3 linked regions of the Lepisosteus oculatus genome follow. The protein of the gene in region 1 purifies or fractionates together with the protein of each later gene. This does not show direct contact. Links are inferred from orthologs where the notes say so. Each region holds a gene or a part of one and is shown in the gene's direction. Other genes may lie near its edges.

Evidence for each region.
Region 2: the proteins of sp1 (region 1) and protein kinase C delta type purify together in Homo sapiens (affinity purification with western blotting; 3 studies listed by BioGRID, with this or other methods). This does not show direct contact. The link is inferred for Lepisosteus oculatus from reciprocal best matches to the Homo sapiens genes SP1 and PRKCD.
Region 3: the proteins of sp1 (region 1) and pparg purify together in Homo sapiens (affinity purification with western blotting; 3 studies listed by BioGRID). This does not show direct contact. The link is inferred for Lepisosteus oculatus from reciprocal best matches to the Homo sapiens genes SP1 and PPARG.

What each region holds. Positions count from the first base shown.
Region 1 is NC_090696.1:17,809,667-17,816,700, reverse strand, and holds the start of sp1 (transcription factor Sp1), read left to right. Parts: upstream 1-4,023; 5' UTR 4,024-4,205; coding exon 4,206-4,212; intron 4,213-4,922; coding exon 4,923-5,020; intron 5,021-5,456; coding exon 5,457-6,939; intron 6,940-7,034. UniProt on the Homo sapiens protein: Transcription factor that can activate or repress transcription in response to physiological and pathological stimuli.
Region 2 is NC_090699.1:66,104,245-66,111,765, reverse strand, and holds the start of protein kinase C delta type, read left to right. Parts: upstream 1-4,506; 5' UTR 4,507-4,729; intron 4,730-7,521.
Region 3 is NC_090699.1:62,232,108-62,238,991, forward strand, and holds the start of pparg (peroxisome proliferator-activated receptor gamma), read left to right. Parts: upstream 1-3,869; 5' UTR 3,870-4,046; intron 4,047-5,455; 5' UTR 5,456-5,488; coding exon 5,489-5,552; intron 5,553-6,884. UniProt on the Homo sapiens protein: Nuclear receptor that binds peroxisome proliferators such as hypolipidemic drugs and fatty acids.

The sequences.
Region 1 (7,034 bases):
ATTTATTTGTATAATAGTTATATCACAATTTGTGGCGTTTTACAGAATCGTAGGATAGTTGTTTGTTCATCTGCATTTGCAGACTGCTAGTATGAGTGATTAGCTCAAACAACACGATATCCACCGTTCGATTATTACTACTGAGTTATCGCCAGCAGCCATATCACCCTGCAATTCTCAACTGGCAGCTTACTGAAGCTCAGCAGATGTGAGCCTGGTCAGTACCTAGAGGGGAAGACCTCCTGAGAAAAAACAAGGCTGTTGCTTAAAGAGGTGTTAGTTGGACCAGCAGGGGGCGCTCACCTGTGTGGGTCCTAATGCCCCAGTATAGTGATGGGGAGACTATACTGTAAAATAATAATAATAATTGCTTACACTTATATAGCGCTTTTCCGGACACTCCACTCAAAGCGCTTTACGAGTAATGGGGATCCCCTCCACCACCACCAATGTGAAGCATCCAAATAGGCGCCGTCTTTCTGATGAGACGTAAAACCAAGATCCCGACTCTCCGTGGGGACTCTCCAGGGGCGTTTCTTGAAAACAGTAAGGGTGTTTCCCTGGCATCCTGGCCAAATTTCCCATTGGCCTTTACCAATCATGGCCTCCTAATAGCGCTTTAAGAAGACACCTTTAAAGGCACTATATAAAATAAAGTTTATTATTATATATATAATAATCCCCATCTCTGAACTGGCTTCATTACTCTGCTCTCCTCCCCACTGATAGCCGATGTGTGGGGAGCGTTCTGGCGCACTATGGCTGCCGTCGCATCATCCAGGTGGGGCTGCACATTGGTGGTGGTGGAGGGGAGTCCCCACTACATGTAAAGTGCTTTCTGTTGAAAAAAAGAGCTAGATAAGCGTAAGGATTAGTATGATTTAGAATTTTCGTTGTCTTCTAAGCACAACGTAACTCGAGTACCAACTGGAGCTCCTGGAGGTGTAATACCAACATATGTCCAGACGGTGACAGCAGACGCTAGTCTTAAAAGAAAGTTTACAGACCGTCGTTTCCACGTCTCTTCTTGTTGAACTCTAAAAAAATAATGGTTTTGTCGTGCACATTTTGGAAATCGAATCGAAAGCCTCGTCGTCAGCATTATCACAGAGCCATAACATGTTTGACAACATGGAAAATCAAGAATAACGGTAGTTCTCACTCCATATCTTAATGAAAGACGGGGGGGCTACATCCGATAAGATTCACAGCGCGTTCTTGTTTAGTTTATAACAGGCGGCTTGTCGGCGAGCGAAGTGTTTATAACCATTATCAATCGGCCAGGAATAAAGCACTGATGTCCTAACTAGCTAACTTTAAACCTTCAGAAATTCTGTTCTGACCCTGAAGAGAACAGGACTGGACATTTGGGAATATACCAATGCAATAGGTTATCTCCAATTTTGTTGGGAGACCACTAAGGCTATCTTTCAATATTTTTTCTAGTGTCTTCTACGCAGGTCTCACGTGTGTTGTTCCCGATTTCTTAGTTTTAATGAATTCTTCTCTCTGCATGCTTCAGTTTGATCGGACAGTACCAATTATTACGTTTAAATCAGCCTTTACCACGTTAAGCCATAGCTAGGTTGAATGCAGAACAGGTCTTCAGCATTTTTACACAATCGACTCGCCCTTAGACGCCAATTAACAGGGCGCTTGGAATTCAAACCTCCGCTTGATGGGATTTAGATCAATCAGTAACTTAAGTTTGAACCGCTTTGATCACATTGGGGGAAAAATACTTTCTTATCATTTTAATTTGTTGCCTTTCTCGCCTCCTTTCAACTGTTAACAGGCCAGAAACGTGGCGTTCACACAGTTTGTCGGAGTTAAGATTTGAATTCCTTGGAAAAAATACCATTACACAACTTGGCGACCACAGTACTCAACAGACCGAAACCACGCTCAGAGGCGTGGGGGGAGGGGGTTATTTAACTGCAAATCCTTCAGTGAGGAGAAATAGCCCATCGCCCTCTGGTTTAGAGAACAATGGCTACAGAATAATCGTTTCAAACACAACTGGAATAAAAAACAAACAGCCCATAAGACACATGCGGATAAAAGCCCGATAACCGTGGCTCCGCTGGCGAAGAGCTCTGAGAGGAGGCTGTGTCGGTAAACCCCCCGCTCGTCAACTCCACCCCACGGAAAGCCCGCTGTTTACATGTTGGAAAGCATGTGCTTCTGGGTACACCCTCCAGCACCCCACCCCCTCTCCTGCCCTCGCAGGCTCAGGCGCTGCCCCTCCCCCACGGCCGCCTACCGCTCTCCCAGCCCTCCAGCGCCGCACAGGGAGGGGCCCGCAGGAGCGCGAGGTCTCTGCCTCTCATTCATAATCCGCCCGCCCAGGAAAGAGAACCCCGCACGAGTATCGGAGACTCGGCTGTCACAGCGCTTAACATCTCTCTGACCACGATGTCACCGAGCTGTGATACACTAGCTGGACCGTGCTCGCGTTTCGCACGCACTCCTGAAGGTGTGTGTCTGCGTAGGAGCCGCACAAGACAAAACGGTCTTTGGACATTTGCGGGCCAGATCACGTCGTTGCGTTTGGCACCCGTCAGGTAGCACACGAGCCTGAAAAGTGGGTGTCTTTTTCCGCAGTGTCCTCACTGCAAGAGTTAAGGCATTATCTGGTTACTTCATGCTTCATGCTTAATGCATAACCCATGCTCAAGAAGGGTTACAAGAGAGAGGAGGCCATTCAGAACATCTAGAACGTTTGTTAGTAATTCATGGATCTTTTCTTCTAAAAGGTCAGGGTATCGTTTGTGTGGCTTGTTCCACACCCCCACCCCCCTTTTGTGTAAAGAAGCCCCAGATCTAAATGCTCTCGCAGGTAGCTCTCTCGGTGTCGGCTGAGGAAGCTCACCGAGTTGCCTTGGGCAGGTCTACATGGACACGGACCTACCACGTATGTTTTTAAACACGGGAGTTCCCAGCAGATAAAACAGCAGCCAGTGTGAGCTGACCGTGACCCTGGTTACAGGGCTGCCTCTCCGTTCTGCAGGTGTATGTGCGAGGGTGGAGGGGGCAACAGCGCAGTTCACAATGAGAGGAGCCGGGGTGCTGCTGGATTGTGCTGGTTTCACTGGGATCGTAGACGGGACTCCCGCTGGATCAGTACAGAGCTTTACCCCTCGGCAGTGTCCGGGGCAGGGAGGGGCAGACAGGACAATTAAACCCCAGCCTGCCTACCCCTGGTGGACTTTCACTCAGCGAGCGAGTGGTGAAACTCCTAAATGGCCAGTCTGCACTTTCAGAGGAGTGCCCAAAGGCAGGCGAGTTGCTCTGTGAAACACGAAACATCAGCCTCCTTTCTTACGTTCGTATTACACAAAGGGCAGCGGGAGAGTGGAACAAACTCAGAACAAGAACCTTGGCTTTTTTTTTTTAGAAAACAGCTGGGTTAGATGATGAACTTAATTAACTGGACTAGAAAGCCTGTCCTTTTAAAATATAGATTTGAACCGGTTGTTTTGGTTTTCCTCGAGGCTGGGCTCCCAGGTACTTAATTGAACTGAAAATGGCTGGGACAACATGCATGTATCTAAAAACCCACAGTGGTGCGTTTTGTTATTGCATAAAAAAGCTTTCTGATACTGTATTTTAAAAAAAATAACAGTATTTAAAACAGTTATAGACCATTTTCGCTTTTTAAAGAATGTAATAATATAGTAATGCAATATCATTTGTGACTGATTTCCAAAAAATCTCCAAACGCTAGAAAAGGGAAGAAAAGGATGACATCCGCTTCATAAATACTAGAACCACAGCAAGCACGGTTTGCTAATGGCGCCTTTTCCGCCAAAAAGAAAATCCTCCCTCCTGTACAGACTTTGAGCCGTTCCGTAAACGGTACAACCTACCCAACTTGACCCCACCCAAATACCCGCCCCCAAGCTCCATTTCCATTGGATGTTACTGGCAACTCAGCGGACATTCAGAGTGATGATTGGATACAATTCCGCTTCCATCTCGCTACACATTCCAAACCCACGACCAACGACACAACCAGACTGAACTCGTAAAGACATCCTCCAGACAAATCCGATTGGCTGTCGTAGTAGCAGGGCGCTCTCTGATTGGCGAAGAGGGCTTTCGCTCTTCCCTCGGTGCTGTGGCGCCGCGGGGTTTGGTTGCACCGTCTCTAAGTTGATGTCAGCCCCTCAAGAACCCCAAGAAACTCCTCCCGTCAGAACATAATGAGTGGTAAGAAACTTTTTTTCGTTGTTTTAAAGACGAAAATTAAAGAAAGAAAGAAAACGAAATATAAAAGCTCCGCAACTTTAGAAAATAATGAATAAAACCATAAAGTCGTATTCTAACAAAAACCCGCTGAAGTAGAAAGAGGTCTGGGTTTCGTGAGGACTGTTCTTTTTTAAAGTTTTTTTTAGCCTCAAGATTAAACAAGCTGGGTTTTCCGTCGTTCCACTTTCACTGAGGACTGGGGTGACCCTAAAAGTTCGATGTTTAATTGGATCAGGCTGAAGAGGAGTTTAAACGGGGGGGTAGCTCGTCGAAACGGACACTTAAGAACAGCCGTTCATCGTTACTACTTTCCTTTCGACAAATAACAACAAAGAGCAGATTTAGCACGAATAAAAAAAACAATATGATCTCAGATAACACTCGGAATATCTCCCCCACATTGCTTTTAATCTCTGGCCGTGGATCACTGCGTTTACTGGCGTAAAACAAAACGCTAAAACATGTGAGGAAAAAGAAACCCAGGTACACCCGGATCAATTCTCGATTTTTTTTTGGTTGGAGCGATACTTTTTTTTTTTCCGTGGTCGTTTTGGCACGGTTGCGGATTCGACATAGGAAACCCGATTTCTTTTTCTTTTCAATTAATATTCCGCCGTTGGCTGCCTAGTATTACCCCCTTCCGCGCTGTGTTTTTCCTCCCTCTCCCTCAGATCAGGAACAGCCGCGAGACGAGATGGCTGCCCTGGCCGAGAGCGGCGGCGCCGCTTTCCTTCAGAGCCTCGCGAAGAGGAGCGCGAGCTCGGGGCAGGTGAGCGGCGGCTCCTCGCCGGTCTCCGCGTTCGCGTCGGGCCCGCGAGGGGCGAGAGCGCGAGGGAAGAGCTGTGTTGTTGTGCTCTGGGGAGGGAGAGGACCGCGGCCGGTCTGCGGCGGCGGCTCCGGCGTTGTTGCTTGACCCGGGGAGGCTGGTGGTGTGTTTGCGTGTGTGGCGGCGATGGGGGGCCGGGTTTGTTGTCGCTCTCGCCCTGCGCACATGCTTGTTTTGAAAAGCGGGGCGTGCGGAGCCGGGGTGTTCCCGTCGCAGGCTCCGCTCTCTCAGAGCGGTCCGCACAGCCCACTGGAGGCTTGGCGCTGGAGGGGGAACGGACAGGGGGGGGAGCGAGCGCGGGTGGGTGGAGAGGTGGGTACGCGTGGGCCGCCCTTTTCGCCGGCCGTGGTAACCCCACCCACCCCGGTGTCTGTTGCAGGACTCCCAGCAGACCTCCCCGCTCGCTCTGCTGGCGGCGACGTGCAGCCGGATGGAGTCTCCCGGCGAGGGCGAGCAGGCGGGCTCGGAGCCGCCGCCGCAGCAGCAGCAGCAGCAGCAACAGCACCAGCAGCAGCTGGACCTGAACTCGGCCCAGATCGCCCACACGGCCAACGGCTGGCAGCTCATCCCCGTCAGCGTGCCCAGCTCCGTGGGCGCCACCACTCTCAGCCAGGCCGGGGGGCTGGGGGGGGACGCGGGCAAGGGCAGGCCGGCGGTGGCCACTAGTGCCGGGGGCGGCCAGCAGCAGCAGCAGCAGCAGTTCGTGGTGGCCTCTGCGCCCACCCTGCAGGGCCAGCAGGTCCTGACCACCCTGTCTGGGGTGATGCCCAACATCCAGTACCAGGTCATCCCCCAGTTCCAGACCGTGGACGGGCAGCAGCTGCAGTTCGCCACGGCGACGGGTGCCTCTGCCCAGGTGAGCATGCAGCAGGACTCCGCCGGGCAGTTCCAGCTGGTCTCGTCCCCCGGCGGCGGCCAGCAGATCATCCGGGCGGCGGGGGGCGCGGGCGCGGGCGGGGGCAACCTCATCGCCATGCCCAACCTGCTCCAGCAGGCCATCCCCCTGCAGAACCTGGGCCTGGGCAGCAACCTCCTGCAGAACCAGGGCTCCTTCCTGGCCAACGTGCCCCTGTCTCTCAACGGCAACATCACCCTGCTGCCGGTCAGCGCCGGCGGCCAGGCCGCGGCCGGCGGGGCGGGGGACGCGGGTTCGGGCGCCTCCCTGCAGCAGCAGCAGCAGCAGGTCCAGCAGGCCGTGTCCAGCGCGGCGGGGGTGTACTTCTCCAGCGCTGGCTCGGTCGTCACCTCCGCGCCGTCGGTCAGCAGCGCCAGCGGCTTCGCGGCTGGCGGCACCACGATGACCACGGTCCAGGCCCAGCAGCGCAACGGGGGGCTCGTCTCGGGGTACCAGAGCTCGGGGGGCGCCGTGCAGCTGCAGGGCAGCCCGCAGGATAACAGGGACTCCCAGCAGCAGCAGCAGCAGCAACAACAACAACAACAACAGCAACAGCAGCAGCAGCAGCAACAGATCATCATCCAGCCCCAGCAGCTCCTGCAGGGCACCCCCACCCTCCAGACCCTCCACACGGGCGCCGTCCCGACCGGCCAGGTCTTCGCCACGCAGGACGGCCTGCAGAACCTGCAGTTCCAGACCCTCCCCAACACCAGCCCCATCCTGCTGCGGACCGTGGGCCCCAACGGGCAGGTCAGCTGGCAGACGCTGCAGCTGCAGAGCCCCGCCGGCGCCCAGACCATCACCCTGGCGCCCGTGCAGTCCCTGCCCCAGCTGGCGCAGAGCCCCGCCGGCGCCGTGACGGTCAACGCCGCCCAGCTGTCCGGCCTGCAGACCATCAACCTCAACACCCTGAGCAGCGCCGGCCTGCAGATGCACCAGCTGCCCATCGCCATCGCCAACCCCGCAGGTGAGTGAGCTTTCTGCTCCAGCTGCGCAGCCCGTCACGCAAATACACAGCCGTATCCCAATTCCAGTTTGTCTATGCAAATTTCTTTAAGGTAA
Region 2 (7,521 bases), on another chromosome or scaffold:
TTATGGCAGGGATGTGTTCAGTACAGAGGAGTGTTGGGTGACAGTGGAAGAATCTGGTAGCAGTTCTTTATTACAATAATATTATAAAGCTATATTAGCATATGTAGCCATTTATGTCTCTTGGTGCAATTTTACAGCACAACCTAAGCAAAAGAACGATGTTGGACTCAATGGGATGGCAGGACTCTGTGGAGCCCGTTTTGGTCTCGTCTGGAACTGGTTCTGGGGCTGTGGCGGCCCGCGGAGCTCTTCAGTCCGAGGCCCGACAGTGGCTGTTCTACCAGGAGGGCTCACAGTGCAGCAGTCCCAGTCCAGGCGTACATAGAGGAGACAGCTGCCCTCCCTTCCTGAGAGCACAAGACAGGTCACGAAAGAGAGGCCCATCTATCCTGTTAGGGAGCTCGTAGCTCATTGATCCCAGGATCTCAAGCGGCCATCTCTTCGAAAGAAGCCGGGGTATCGGCTTCAGCAGCCTGGCTGGGCAGCTTGTCACAGACAGCCGGAAGCCTGGAGGAACAAAGGCAGATTGGGGCTCTGAGAGATCTGCGACCACCCCAGTCCACCCCAGTCCACCTCAGTGCAGCGCGCTCAGCACAGTGGGGGAAGAGACAGCCTGGCCTAGTTTACCTGCGCTCGGGCCACGCAGAAGGGCTATTTCTGTCCTGCCACCTGAGTCTGAACAAGCACGCAGATAAATAAAGGCTCCAGCCCTTCACTGCAGGGTGTTGCATTTCTATTTTAAAAGGAGAGAGAGGGAAGGGTTTAAACCTGCTCTAATGAAATGTGTGGCGTGCGTAAAACACCTTCCTTTAATGTTAATTTCGGAATCAGAAGGTAGACCCAAGTGCAGCAGGGACGAATACCTCTTTCTGGGAGCATCATTTAGGGCACACAGGGTCAGCAGCGGGCGAGAACATCGTTTGCTCTGTTATTAGACGTCTTCGACGGTCAGACCAAGAAGAGCCGCCCGATTACCTCTGAACAGGATGGAGGAGGATGGCTGAACAAGCTGAACATGAAGTACCAGCCGGGCTTGAGCAAACTGAGCTGATGACATTTCTGGGTCAGCCCTGTTTTTGAGCCAGTTCCTGTATATGGAGATTGTAACACGGCAACACCGTCTACTAACGCAAATCATTAGAACACAAGACAGGTTCCAAGCGGGATGAGGCCACCGAGTCGTTCCTGCTAGAATCCGAAATGTCAGCATTTTCCACGGCGTCTGGACGGCTTGTTCCACACCCCCACAACCCTTTGTGTAGAGACGTGCCTCCTGTTTTCGGATTTTAAAGCATCTCTACAGAGTTTCCACTTGTGTGCTCTGGTTCATGAGTCACTGAGGCCAGCAGCTGATTCGGAAGAAATCTGCTGGCTTGACATTGTCAGGGGCTTTGAGGATTGTGAAACCTGTTCCTATCTCTTAAAGACTGAACAGGTTTATTTCCTTCAATAAGAATGCCCAGTGTAGGACAGTCGCTTAAACCCCAGAATGTATCTGGGTGCCCTTCTCTGGGCTGCTTATTGCACTGCACACCTGTCTGTGTGGAGTTTGCATGTTCTCCTGTGTCTGTCTGTCTTTCCTCCAGGCCCTCCGGATCCTTCCCGCCTCTCCAAAGACACACAGGATACTCTGACTGGCTGCTTCAAACTGCCCGTTCCGGAGTTCGATCCCTGATCCCACAAGGAAGGTGCCTGCATTCCGCATCAAGGCCAGAGGTTATTAATTAAAAATAAGTACAGGACAATCAGCAGATCACAGCAAACAAACTGAGGAAGGAGGGGAGCTGTGCTGGATCTGGAGAGGAGACAGGGCTATGTAACTAGAAAGCTAGAGATCTCTTGATCTGTATCTTTATGATGTTGTAAAGGGTTTCCTTTCATGCTGGGGTTTCCCTGTTGGTGTGTGTTTGTTCTCTTGTCTGTCTTGTTTGTTCCTTAATGATGGACGCTGTGTGAACTTTGTTAACAATTAATTAAAAAAAGAAACGCAGGCTTGCAGTCCGGGTTCAGGAAGTGCGAATCCTTCGGAAGACAGTGATGCGGCTTGTCCACACGCCATCCCTGCAGTCTGAGATCATCCTGTCGGCGCAGTGGTGACTCAGCCCCGCGTGGCCCCCGAGCCCCCACGCCCCCACGCCCCCACGCCCAAGCTGACAGGCACCTGATCACCTGCGGGTCTCTCCTGCTCCGAGCCCAGCGGGGAATCCCAGCGCTGAGAGTACACAGTCACCCGTGCTGTCATAACTTCCAGGTGGTGGCGAAATTCAGTCATGTTCCCAGAACAATACACACATAAACACACACACACGGACTTGCTGAGTCACGGAGGACTCATGAGTTGACTTGTTTATTTCTTCTAAACCAGCAGCCCTCTCTTACGATTTTGCAGATCTTAGGCCTTTTCTCCAAACAGGCTCCTGTCTGGAATTCTTTCCCACTCCCACTCCCACTCCCACTCCACATCCCTGCCTGGACAACCTTGTGCTTCGGGTCAGGAGGGGTGCAGATGTTCACATTCCCGAGACAGAAGAGCTGTCCCCTGTCTCTCTCCCCTGTCACCATCTTGTCTGTCCTCCCACCTTCACAGTGTCTCGTCACATTCCCTCCTGGTCCCCCTGTTGCGTCTCTCTGGTCTGTCTCTTCCAGGGGTGCCCAGCCCTGGTCCTGGGGAGCCCCTGGGTCAGGGGTCTTCAGGTCACCCCTAAACCATCAGTCCCCAGACTCCTGTGAGGGTGTGGCTGTGACCAGTGAGGCAGGTGCCCTGGTGCAAGAAGGACTTTAGAGACCCTGTGAGCTGAAAATCCCTCTCCTGTCTCTCCTGTCTCTCCTGTCTCTCTCAGGGACCACAGCTGGACACTGCTGCCTCACCTGAGCCCGCTAGCTGGCCGGCTGGACCGTGGCCCTCCGGGACCAGGCTCAGGCTCTTCCTGCTGGGACAGCTCCCTCGGCTGCCATCTTCAGGCGAGTCGTGCTGACCTCCCTCCTGTGCGCCGGAGAGCGGAGAGCAGACTGTGTGGGTTCCCGGGTCGCTGGCCTGCAGAGACCAGCCTGGCGTGCAGGCTGAGCCCCTCGGCCATCAGAGAGGTCTCGTTCTGAACTGGGCTGAGCTCTGCGGAGGAGGAGAGACGGGCACCTGTGGGCTCCATCAACGCGTGGAGCGTTTGCAGAGAGAGTTAGTGATATTTCACATAGAAGACAGGAATGAACCACGTCAAAAATGCTGTGTCTGGCAATCTCTCTCTGCGTGACACATTTATAGGACACGAGAGATTGACCAGGACTGCTCTCGGATTATAGGAAGACTTGGAGAGTGATCGTGTACGGAGTGTAGCAGGAGGAGCCACGCTGGTTCTCCGGAAACGGCCTTTTCGGAAGAGATTAACGCTCGTTTCAAAACGTCTCTGAACCCGTGCCGGGGCTTGACTTCTGCACCCCCGCGGGAGGGAGGGGCTGAGCCCGCCGGAGCTGCCCTCGGCCCAGAGCAGCGCCCCCTGGGCTGGCCAGTCAGCGAGACACGTCCGCCCAGCGGGGGTCACTCTGTCCCTGGCCAGTCGGTCAGTGAGCTGGTGGCTCAGCACGAGGAGGGTCCACGATCTCCCCGTGACCTCCCCTGAGCTCCAGCCCAGCGGCCAGCTGCCCAGTGGAGCTCCGGGCGACTTCACCGGACCCTCCAATAGTGTCAGCAATGAATGAACAAGTCCAGCCAGTACAGTGCCCTCCTGGCGTCGGCTGGGGACCCAGTCCAGCTCCTGGGCTGCGCCGCACAGCCAGACAAAATAACACAGAGTTCCACACGGAGCTCAGTGGAGTGTGGGACAAGCCAAGTCCAGAGCCCGTTTCTGTAACTCCCGAAGGGGCTAGATGGGCTTCTGTCATCTGTGACTCTTCCTTAATGAAGTCGGTCTGCTGCTCACACAGGTACACTGGCCTGGCGCTTCAGGTCACAGCAAGAGCAAACCAGAGGGGTCAGAATCTCACCCTACTGGTTCTGGAAGGAAAACATAGCTGGGCAGCCTGTTCCACACCCCCACAGCCCTCTGTGTTCAGAAGCTGCTGAGAACCGCTGTTCTCAGTTCTTACTCCGCTCCAGCTCAGTACTGTGTACATTTATACTGCGTTTGTTTATTCTGGAACGGTCAAGTTCCCTGTGGAATCAGTGTTTCATCATGTTTTATACGTTTTGTTTGGATTTCAGACATTGGCAGCTGTTGTTTGAGCCTGGGCGTCACGGAAGACGGGCGGACTGGTGGGATCTGTGGGTGTCCCGGGGAGTCCCCGACCGGCCTCCGAACCCGCCCAGAACGCAAACCCACCTTTCGCTCGACTGTCTCGGGAAGCGAGCGCGTCAGCCCGCAGGGATCGCGACGAGCTCCTGCGATCTGCTCGGCCGGAGGAAACGCTCAGAAACTGCAGCGAAGAAAACCCGAAACTCGTCACGGCCCGGGCTGCCCCCCCCATCCTCCTCCTCCTCCTCCCAGGTGGCAGTACAAGTGGAGCGCGCCCCTACCTTGGCCGGCCAGTGAGCGCGCCCCGCCTGCCGCCTGAGCCGCACCTGAGCGACGTCACAGCGCCGGGCGGGTGCCGCTGCGCGAGACGAGCGCGAGAGAGACACTTCCTCCAGCACGCGGCGCGGCTCGAGAGAGAGCGGCAGAGCGAGCGAGCGCAGAGAGGAAGCGGAGCGAGCCGAGACCCGGGGCCACCGCGGCGTCGCTGCCAACAGCTGCAAGAGGTGAGCGAGCTGGGTTTTTTTGTGCGAGGCGATAGCGGCGGCTCCCCACTCTTATAACCCCCCCGCCGCGGCGAGAGGACTGGCCCCCACCCGCCGGATCTGCAGGCAGCGAAACTTTCGGGCTGCAGTGTCGCGCTCTTCCGCGCCGCTTGCGTGGAGTTTCGGTGTGTCGGCCGGGGCGGGGAGAGACGAGACGAGACAGGAAGAAGAGTTCGGCGGCTCCGGCCGAGAAACTCGCCGCCAAAAGCGAGAGACACAGAAGCAGGCGGGCAGAGGCGCGGTGCCGGTCCGCTCAGCCCCCGCTCCCGGGTCCCCAGGTGGAGGAAGGGCGCCGGGTCCGGCGGGGTCCCGGGGTCCCCCCGCTCGGCTGGGCTGAGGCGGCGGTCGCGCTGTCCGAGCGGGCTCCGGGCTGGGGGCCGCGGGGCGTTTCAAGAAGTTTTGTTTTTTTTTGCGCGTGTGCGTGTGCGTGTCCTTCGGCTTCTGAAAATCTCTTCCACCCTCCGCCGTGGTCGGACTGCCGGTCTGAAAGGGGCTTTCTCTGCGTGGAGGAAGAGGAGGGGGGTGATGTTGATGTGTACGTGGGATCCCGAGCTCTGCGTGGGTCTTCCCCCTCGCGGGACGGTGTGGCCGGTCTGTGCTCTGTACCGTCCTGGAAGTTGCTCTGCACCCGCCTGTGTCTCGGTCCGTGGGACAGCGAGACCGCGGACCTGTTTCCACTCTGTTTGACAGCTGCTAAACCTCCCAGCCCGCAACAGATCCCAGATCCGTCTTGTTGTTGTAAGCGTCTCTAAAAACACTGGGAAAACAGCCGTTTGGCGTGTGCGCGCTCCTGTGCGGAGGTAGACACCTGTCCCACCTGCGCAGGTGGGGTACAGTCGCTCCGTCCACGGCCTCCGGGGACCCTCCTCCACGCGTGGGGCCCCTCTCGCGAGAGTGTCCCGGGTGGAGCCGCCCGCCCCGCGGGGGGGCAGCAGTGTGTCCCTGTGCTCGGGCTGCAGGGGGCGATTACAGTGGCGGCTCTGCTCTGCAGGGACCGTGGGCCCGGGACAGGACTGAGGTCACCCCGAGAGTGAGGGGGTTAGTGTGTAAGTTTGGGGCTCACGCCTTTGCTGAATTGAACAGGACTGCTGAGGCGGGGCGGAGCTGTGGCTCTGTGGCTCAGGATCTGCGCCTGTGACTGGGAGGTTGCCGGTTCAAATCCCGCAAACAGCAGAGGAATCCTACTCTGTTGGGCCCCTGAGCAAGGCCCTTCACCCCAGCTGCTCCAGGGGCGCCGTACAATGGCCGACCCTGCGCTCTGACCCCCAGCTCCTCTCCCTGTCTGTGTGTCTGTGTCTCCATGGAGAAAAGCTGGGGTATGTGAAAAGACGAATTCCTAATGCGAGAAATTGTATAGGGCTAATAAAGTACCAGCACCAGTGCCGAGCGCGGGTCGCTGCAGAGCTGTGATCAGGGCTCGGGCCAGAGCAGGAGGCCGGAGCTCAGCCTGGGGAGGTTCTCGGCTGCGCGGTATTGATCGCTCCGGGCCCAGACTGGGATCGATCCCCGTTTCGCCCGCTGCGTTCCTGGGAACGCCTGGGCGGTGGGTTGGCAGGTTGTGCGCCCCCTGCAGCCGGGCCGGGCCCTGCGCGCCTCTGGACCCGTGACCCCGGTGTTGTCGGTCCAGGGGGGGTGGGGAGGTCGGCTCTGTCCTGCCCCTCCCTGTCCCAGGCCAGCAGAGAGAACAGCCCTGAGCTTCTCCCCTCTGCCTGGTCATCTCCTTGCTGTGGATTGTAAGTGTTGGAGTGGAAAATGTCTCAGGCTGGTCCCAGCTCCAGGCCTCCAGGAATGCAGCTTGTCTGGTTTCTGTTCCACCCACATTCTCTCGGCGGCCTAATCGTTTAACTGCAGAACTGCGACGCCTCTGTCCGCGCGCCGAGGTGATTCCCAGGTGACTGAACCTTCAATGAAGCGACTGTCTTGTGTCATCGACTGTAAAAGACCTATATACGGCTCATTTGGGAAATAATGGGGTTAATTGCTTAATCGACTGCTCGGGTTGAAACAAAAACCCGGAAAACATTGGAAATGTGGGAGTTTTACCAGAACTTAATAAAGGACTGCAAAAGAGGACGAGGCTGTTGATCGTTTGGTCATTAAGCACCCATTTTGTCCAGCTGCTGCTTGTAGGATTGGCCACCTGACTGGAAACCCTGCTCCCCACACCCACAACTCTTTGTGTAAAAGGGTTTCCTGCACTCCTGGTTCAGAGCCTTTTCTCGGTTCTCTTCCGGTTTTCTAACGGGGCAGTACAGCGATATAAACACCGGTGTTGGTGTTTGCACCTCAACACGCTCCGTGGGCCTCTTCCCCTCGTCTTGCTGGCGGCGCGGGTCCCTGTGGGCCGGCGTGGGCCCAGGTCCAGGCCCGGCCGTGAGAGACCCCATCTGGGAGGAGTGCTGTTTTCACTTCTCTCTTTTCGTCTGCGCTGTGGTCAGCCTTGTGCAAGCCAGTCTTTTTCAAGGAGCCCCGTCTTCTGAGAAGAGTTTGAGGAACTCGCAAGAAAAGCAGAAGTTCTTTTTCCGGCGAACGCGCAAACGCGCGTGCGGGGGGGGTCGTCCTCGGCTCTCCTGTCCTCCTGTCCTCCTGCGGCCCCCCCGGTCTTGTCTGTCGGTTGCATCGGTCCAGGGCGGAGACCAGGGCACAGGAGCTAGCAGGTCAAGTGTGGGGTCGCTGTCTGAGGACCGGTGAGGTGCCCTGAGCTGATGTCCCGGCTGACGGGCAGGGCGCGAGCTCGGGAATTTCGGGCCAGC
Region 3 (6,884 bases), on another chromosome or scaffold:
ATGTATGTAATAGTATTGAATTGGAAACTTGTTACAAACGAGTTCTCTGCTTAAGGTGGCACAACCTGGAAAGGGCAGGTAAACATTCTCTCAAACATTGGATTGTATTAGATCCATTGTACAGTATATTAAATACCTTATATCACAGTCTGTATTTGTTATGTAAGCATACAAATGTACAGGAGACCCAGTAGTGGTAGACTTCATTCGAAGAGATGTGCATCTGTTTGAAGGACTTTGAACTTCACCAATAAATGGAAGGTGTGTCAGTAGCAGCAAATCACTGATTAGAAAGTGCCTAATGGGGCCTCTGGGTCTTTGTCACATCATGTTCCTGCTCACACGCAACTTTCTGAGCCTCCATGAATAAACAGCCTCCCTGCAGGTAGAATAGCCCGTGACCAAACAGGCATAATGAGTGGTGTATAGAAAAATGTGCAATTGCTTCTTCCTGCTTTTCGTAAAATATGTCATCAGTTTGCACCTCATGTTATGAGGCTGCACTCCATGTCCTCTGTACAATTTAGATTTATGTAAAAAATGTAGCTCTGTGGCTAAAGATCTGTGCCTGTGGCTAGAAGCAAGGTCCTTAACCCCAGCTGCTCCAGGGGCACCGTATAAATGGCTGACCCTGCGCTCTGACCCCAAGCTTCTCTCCCTGTCTGTGTGTCTCATGGAGAGCAAGTTGGCGTATGCGAAAAGACAAATTCTTAAAACAAGAAATTGTATATGACCAATAACGTGATCTTATCTTATCTTAAAATACCCCAAAACGGTGAAGGAACCTTGCACAGTGCATGTGGGTTTTTTTTCTGTGCTTTTTCAGCATATGAATAACTGTCTGACTTGTACTGACCTCATGAGATATTCAGAATTGTGGGCTTCAACCTGCAAAGATGTTGTCACCTGAGAGCAGGTTGATCTCTGTGATGAAAGCTTCAGGGGTTCAGTCCTGGGTCGCGTCACTAACTGATGGTGACTGAGATTTCCCCTTAGTGTTTGCGCCAGATCTGGCTGAGCACCACAGAAAAAAAAGGGGTGGGATTAGTAAACTGGGGTTCTCTCGGGTCCCAGCAACCCCCCAGATTTCCTGGGTGCTCTGGGGGAGGTGCTGTCATGTAATTGGGGTTCCGTAGCCAGTGAAGAGTGGAAGGCCTTGAAGGCAGAAAGGTAAGAGGAGTCTTCATACACTTCCTCATTCTTCCATGTGAGGTTGCGGGGTTCATAGCCATTAGCTGAATCAGGTAAAGTAAAAATAGGTGATTCTAAAATTCAAACAAAAGACTCCAAATGGTGTTTTACTGCCTAAATCCAAAGGTGCAGTGAAGGCAATGGCACTTTTAATTAAGGTGATTTTTTCAGATTGTAAAATTTGGATATATAGGCTTATAGCTGAGTTAAAACACATATTAGAAAACGTATTAGAAAACATATTAGAAACTTTAGCTGTAGTGTAAACCGTACTCCTCATATAATAAAGTCCAGCTCATTTTGTGAAACTGTGAACCAGATTCCATCATATTTTTAAGGTACCTAGTGTTCACATATTTTAATCCCATTACATGACTGAGCACAACATTCTTAGGAATCAGTCTGGATTTGTCATCTACTGTTTGCACATTCTGTAGGTGTTCATATAATCTCATTTCAATTCTAATATTCATATCTACATTTCCTGTCACTAGGTTTGTACTTTAATTTTATGCTTTCGGAAAATGGGGAGCATATTTGGCACTGAAAAACGTTGAAAATCCTCATCTTAATCTTTCGAAGGCATTTCCACGTCAGTGCTTTAGAAGCGATCATGTAGTCTAAAATTCAAGGGCTCGCCATAGCATTACATCATAATGAGCTATGAGTTTTATTTTCTCTTGATTACAGCCTTGTTCTTCACCTCAGGAGGTGTGTGCCTGTAAGGCGAGTAAACATGGCCTTCCTGTTTAAAATGAAAACAATAGGGAACAAAGCAGAAAAAAGCCATAGAAAAAAAACCCCGTAAACTGATCCCATTCAGAGCTGGCTCTTCAAGAGTGAGGGGAGGTGAGTTTTCCAGGTTAACAACTTCCAGTCTGGATAGGGGGTAAGCCCTTTTGCACACTTTTGGGAGGGGTCTTCAGAACTAAAATTTTACCTAAAAAAATCCCAACAAACACTTAACAGCTCGAGTCAAAACCCTAAGTACCACAAATGTTCCTTTAATGAGGGTGGCAGCTTGTGGTTAATGGCATTTCCATACTGTGAATCATTATTTTAACCACTCAGCTCCTGCCTTTCCTAATATACATTGAGGAGTGGTGTCGATTCCTTCTGCAGGCTTGCAGCATCCGAGATGAGTAAAGTCCTTGACTGTTGTGGTTCTGTTCCTTATCCGCGAAGGAAACTCAGCTGCTCCCAAAGGAGTAATCGGCCGTTAACTTGTTCCTATTAAAAGAAATTAGGCAAAAGGTTATGTCGTTATATATTGTGCAAAATCAAATTCCCAGGGAGCTGGACAATAAAGATTTTGGGATGTGCAGCACTTGCCAGAAGTGTGTTATTGAAAAAATTCCAGTAAGACTTGTGGAATCCCAAGAGTGCTATCTGGTAAAGAATGATATCTTCTCATAGAGATAACATAGGTTTTGAATTTATACCTTAAAATTGATCTTATGTATCTGCAGCCCAATTTATTCTCACCATATGTGTTAAAATAAATACTGGTGTATGTACATTCATGCTTATTCTCAGAATATAATTAGTTTAAATGCCTTTCTGTAGCACTCAACCAAGAGTTGAGTTCACCTCTTGTCATTAAGGTTCTACACAGCTCCTATTCTGACTTCCTTTGTGGTATAACAGACTTCTACAAGTTGTCTTGCGTGCCCTATCATATAATCATTTCAAATATTGGAGTGCCATAGTAACTTATTTGAGTTTATTTGCCCACTTCGTGTTGATATTCTTCATTTTAGCCAAACACGTACAGTACTACTATGTTTGAATCACAGCTTTACCATGACTAAGATTTCATCTTTTGAACATGATGCAATTTTGTTGCACGTGGACCCATAATATGTTTTATGCCACATCTTGACCCACATCTTGTAAAGCTCTGGGTTAGCATTGGGAAAAAATAAAAAATACATTTTGTGCTAACCTGCAGTCTAACCAGGTGGTCTGATTCATGTGGTAGAATTAATGGATTCAAAGAAAATTAATTTTCTAACCTTTTTTCTGTTTTTTAGAGATGATCTTTCGAAATTGCTTATGACTCTATGTCATAAGCTAATTTCAGTACAAACTTTGATCCACTGCTTAATAATGTCATGAAATATCTTACTTTATGTGTTTTTCATCACTGTAAAGCAATTTTTCCTCATAATAAAATAGTAATTGTATTGTTTTTTGGTCTTAAAATTCCAGTATTTTTTAACTTCCAACTGGAACCACGTGCTTCTGTGATAGATTCCCATGACTCTTACCAGGAATAAGCAGTTTTTAGATAATGGGTGGATGTAATTGATCGAAACACATTCACATAAGTTTAATTTCAGATATTCATTAAACATTTCAGAATATATTATTTTCAGGGACACAAAATTGTAAATCTTGTTCAAATAGTGCTTAGTTAACATTCAGACTGTTTTTTATTTTATTTTATATACATAGTAATAGTACCAAAGTTTGCTTTCATATGAAACCACCCAGTTCTACGTAAAACAACTGCAGGATATTGGCAAGACAAAAAAACTCACAACAAAAAACATTATCTGTCCCCCATCAAGAGAAGTGCAACTGAGTGTCTGTAAGTAGGAATGAAGCAACAGGAAGTCATCTGCGTTTACTAATACTCCACACTGAGGCCACATGATTGTTAGCTGTCTGCACTTTTGCTAAGGTTATGTTGTGTCAAAAGCGGAAAATGTGTGTTTTAGTTCCTACTAATTGGGCAAATCCACCAAGGGCATTACCCACTTGCTAAAAGTCAAAAGTTCATCGCAACCACCTCAATGGAAAAATCATAAATTTTGGATGCCAGATGTCACAGCTTTTTAAAACAGTGTATGGTGAGTGCTGACCCTCGTCTTTTTTTATTTTTCATGGAGTGTTAGTGAATTGGTTCCCTAGCATCAGCATCAGCATAAGTTCTGCCAGTCGGCATTTCAAAACATCCAAAATGTGGAGGGAAAAGGAAACTATTATAAACTAGTATAACAAAAGCAAAAAAGAAACTTTTCACACGACTGTAACGGCTCTTGAATTAGCCATGGAAAATATATTTGTGAAGTTTTAGAAATTGTATAAGTTTGCTAAAACCTATAACACCTAAAATTGTCCAATTCTGGTCCAGCAGGGCGGGTGTGTCACAGCCCTCCCTTAGATCAGATCTCATCTCAGGATCAATAAGAAATATCTGTTAGTCGAAAGTGTCTATGTATTGAAATATGAAATATGTCTATTCTTTAACAAGCAAACAAACCTCTCAAGTAGTTTATGTCTGTTGCTATTAAAATATTATTTCAGCTCCTACTGTACGTGGAATACTAACAATTTAAGGGAAGAAATGTCTGATTTGGTAAATGATTCAAATTAGATAAGATATTAATTTGGAAAATGCAATAAGCTCGGGGGGTTTTCCCTCAGCTTCACATTTTGTACCACCCTGCTGATCGAAGAAGGAGGTTATTTCAAAAGCCTACCGTCGCGTTTCAGCGATGACCTAAATCTGAACTAGCCTGGTATACAGAAATGTATCATTTTTCAAAATGTAGAAATTTTGAAAGGTTGCGCGATGAACTAACCTGGGCAAAGAAACGAACTGCTGCCAGGGTCAGGAGTTCACAGCCTCTTCTGTTCAAGAGGCAAAACCCTGCTATTGGTTTTGAGGTTTCTTACTCAGCGCCTCAGTGTGTTCTCTGGGCTTTCCACTGTAGATGAAATGATTGAAAAAGCAGAGGTGTATGTCAGGAAGCTGGACAATTTTTACATGTAAAACCTATTCTGCACCATATGATTTTGAAACAAATGATTTGTGTTCATCTGTGAAGTACAGTATAAATAAACTTTTTCTCACTGAAAGTTATTTTTTTGTAAAGATGTCAAACTGTAAAGATATTCTCAAAGTTGACTCCATTTATCATATCTTTTTTTCTTTACGCATTTGATAATGTTATGTGTCTAGACAGCTTGCAAGAAGTATTCTAGTTCTGATTGCACAATAGTGTACAGTGCAATACAGGGTGTTCTTCATAGTAAGCCCTGCTCATATTTTGGAAGAATCTTGAGAATTGTGTAGGTGTTTCTTAAATATTATTTTATTACTGACATTGTTATCTAGTTCCCTTTAAATATTCATTGTTTCTTCTTGGATTAAAAGAGGTGATAATATGTATGCCATTTGTAGCCAGTTATTTTATTGTATACATCTGACCTTCGCGTATCCATGTGGAAAATCTATACATTGTTTTTTTTTCAGGACAGTCACCAATGATAAGAGGCCATTCTGGTGATGACGATCATTCGGTTCCGTTTTCTTCACAGTCTCACTACTAATACTGGGAACAAACCCCCAAGTATGAAATCCCCCTAAACATTCCCCCCAGAAAGGGATCATTTACAATTGCCACTAAAATTTAACAGTTGTGCTAACTGTCATGCTACCATGGTGCCAGTGTTGAAAATGTAAATGTGATAAATCAACCAGAAACTAAAAAAGATCCCTACCCTTTTATCTTGATATTTCTCTTTCTATGACACTTCAAACATAATTCCAGTTCTTCATGTCTTAGAAACAGGTGGCTGTGATAAGGATATGAGAAAGGTTGTAGTTGGCCCTTTCTGCCCGTTTAGTTGCTAGTAGCTAATTAAACTGAGAATCTCAATCGGGAATTTTTTGGAAAGAAGACTGGGCCTTGGCATCAACAGCAAGGCTCGGGATCTTGTTCCAGACTCCCACAACCCATTTGGAGGTTTGGAGATTTAGATCTGTTGTTAACAGAAGTAGCTGGAGTAAATGGTGACCTCTTGTTTGGAACCCTTCCTGCATTCTTCTTTAAAAATCTTATCTTCCCTTTGGAAAGTGTAAATGAGTCCATTGCATTGTACGCTTTGATTATTACATTCATGTTCTCCAGACATGTTTGTGAAAAAACATTGTCACACAATAAAGGCATCTCCAGGACGGATACGTAATAGCCTTTTCAGTGGCACCTGTCCTAGTTTCCCTGCAAACAATCTGTTTTTGAACTAACTGTTCCAGGATTTCCATCAGACAGGCACTCAGGAGTGTCACACAGCTTTACATAAGACATTTCTTCGGGAAAATAGGCCTATCTCTGTATGGAACAACATTTAAAGTTCTAACAGTCATAAAGTATACGCAAATGTAAAATATCCTTCTTACAGTATCCATTCCCAAACATTTCTGTCAGCCTTGTCTCCTGGCCATGAAGTTAATTCAGACCAGGATTTCTGTGGCATAGCATCAGAAATGTAAATATGATACTATCTCTGAAGATAATGTAGTTTCCACTCAAATCTTAAATATCTATGCATTAGTCAAGGATTAAATTGATTAAATCAAAGCAGACAAGTCGGTGAAATATCTGAAATTATTCAGGTATTTTCTGATGTAGCTTCTTTTTGTTGTAGAAGCTATAATGATTACAATACAACTGACAAGAACATATACTAAATTGTAAAGTTTTCTAATTCCAAGAAGAGAGTTACAGAGTAAGGAGATCCAAACATAAATAAAGGTTGTTGTGAAGACTGGGCTAGCTGCTTGTTTAGTCATATTTCTAGGATGACTTATCCTTTTTCAAGATATTGCTGAATGTGGTCAAACAGGTTGCACCAGTGTTAGCCCTGTTCTGTACAAAGATGGTAGCTCTTGCTTTTGTACT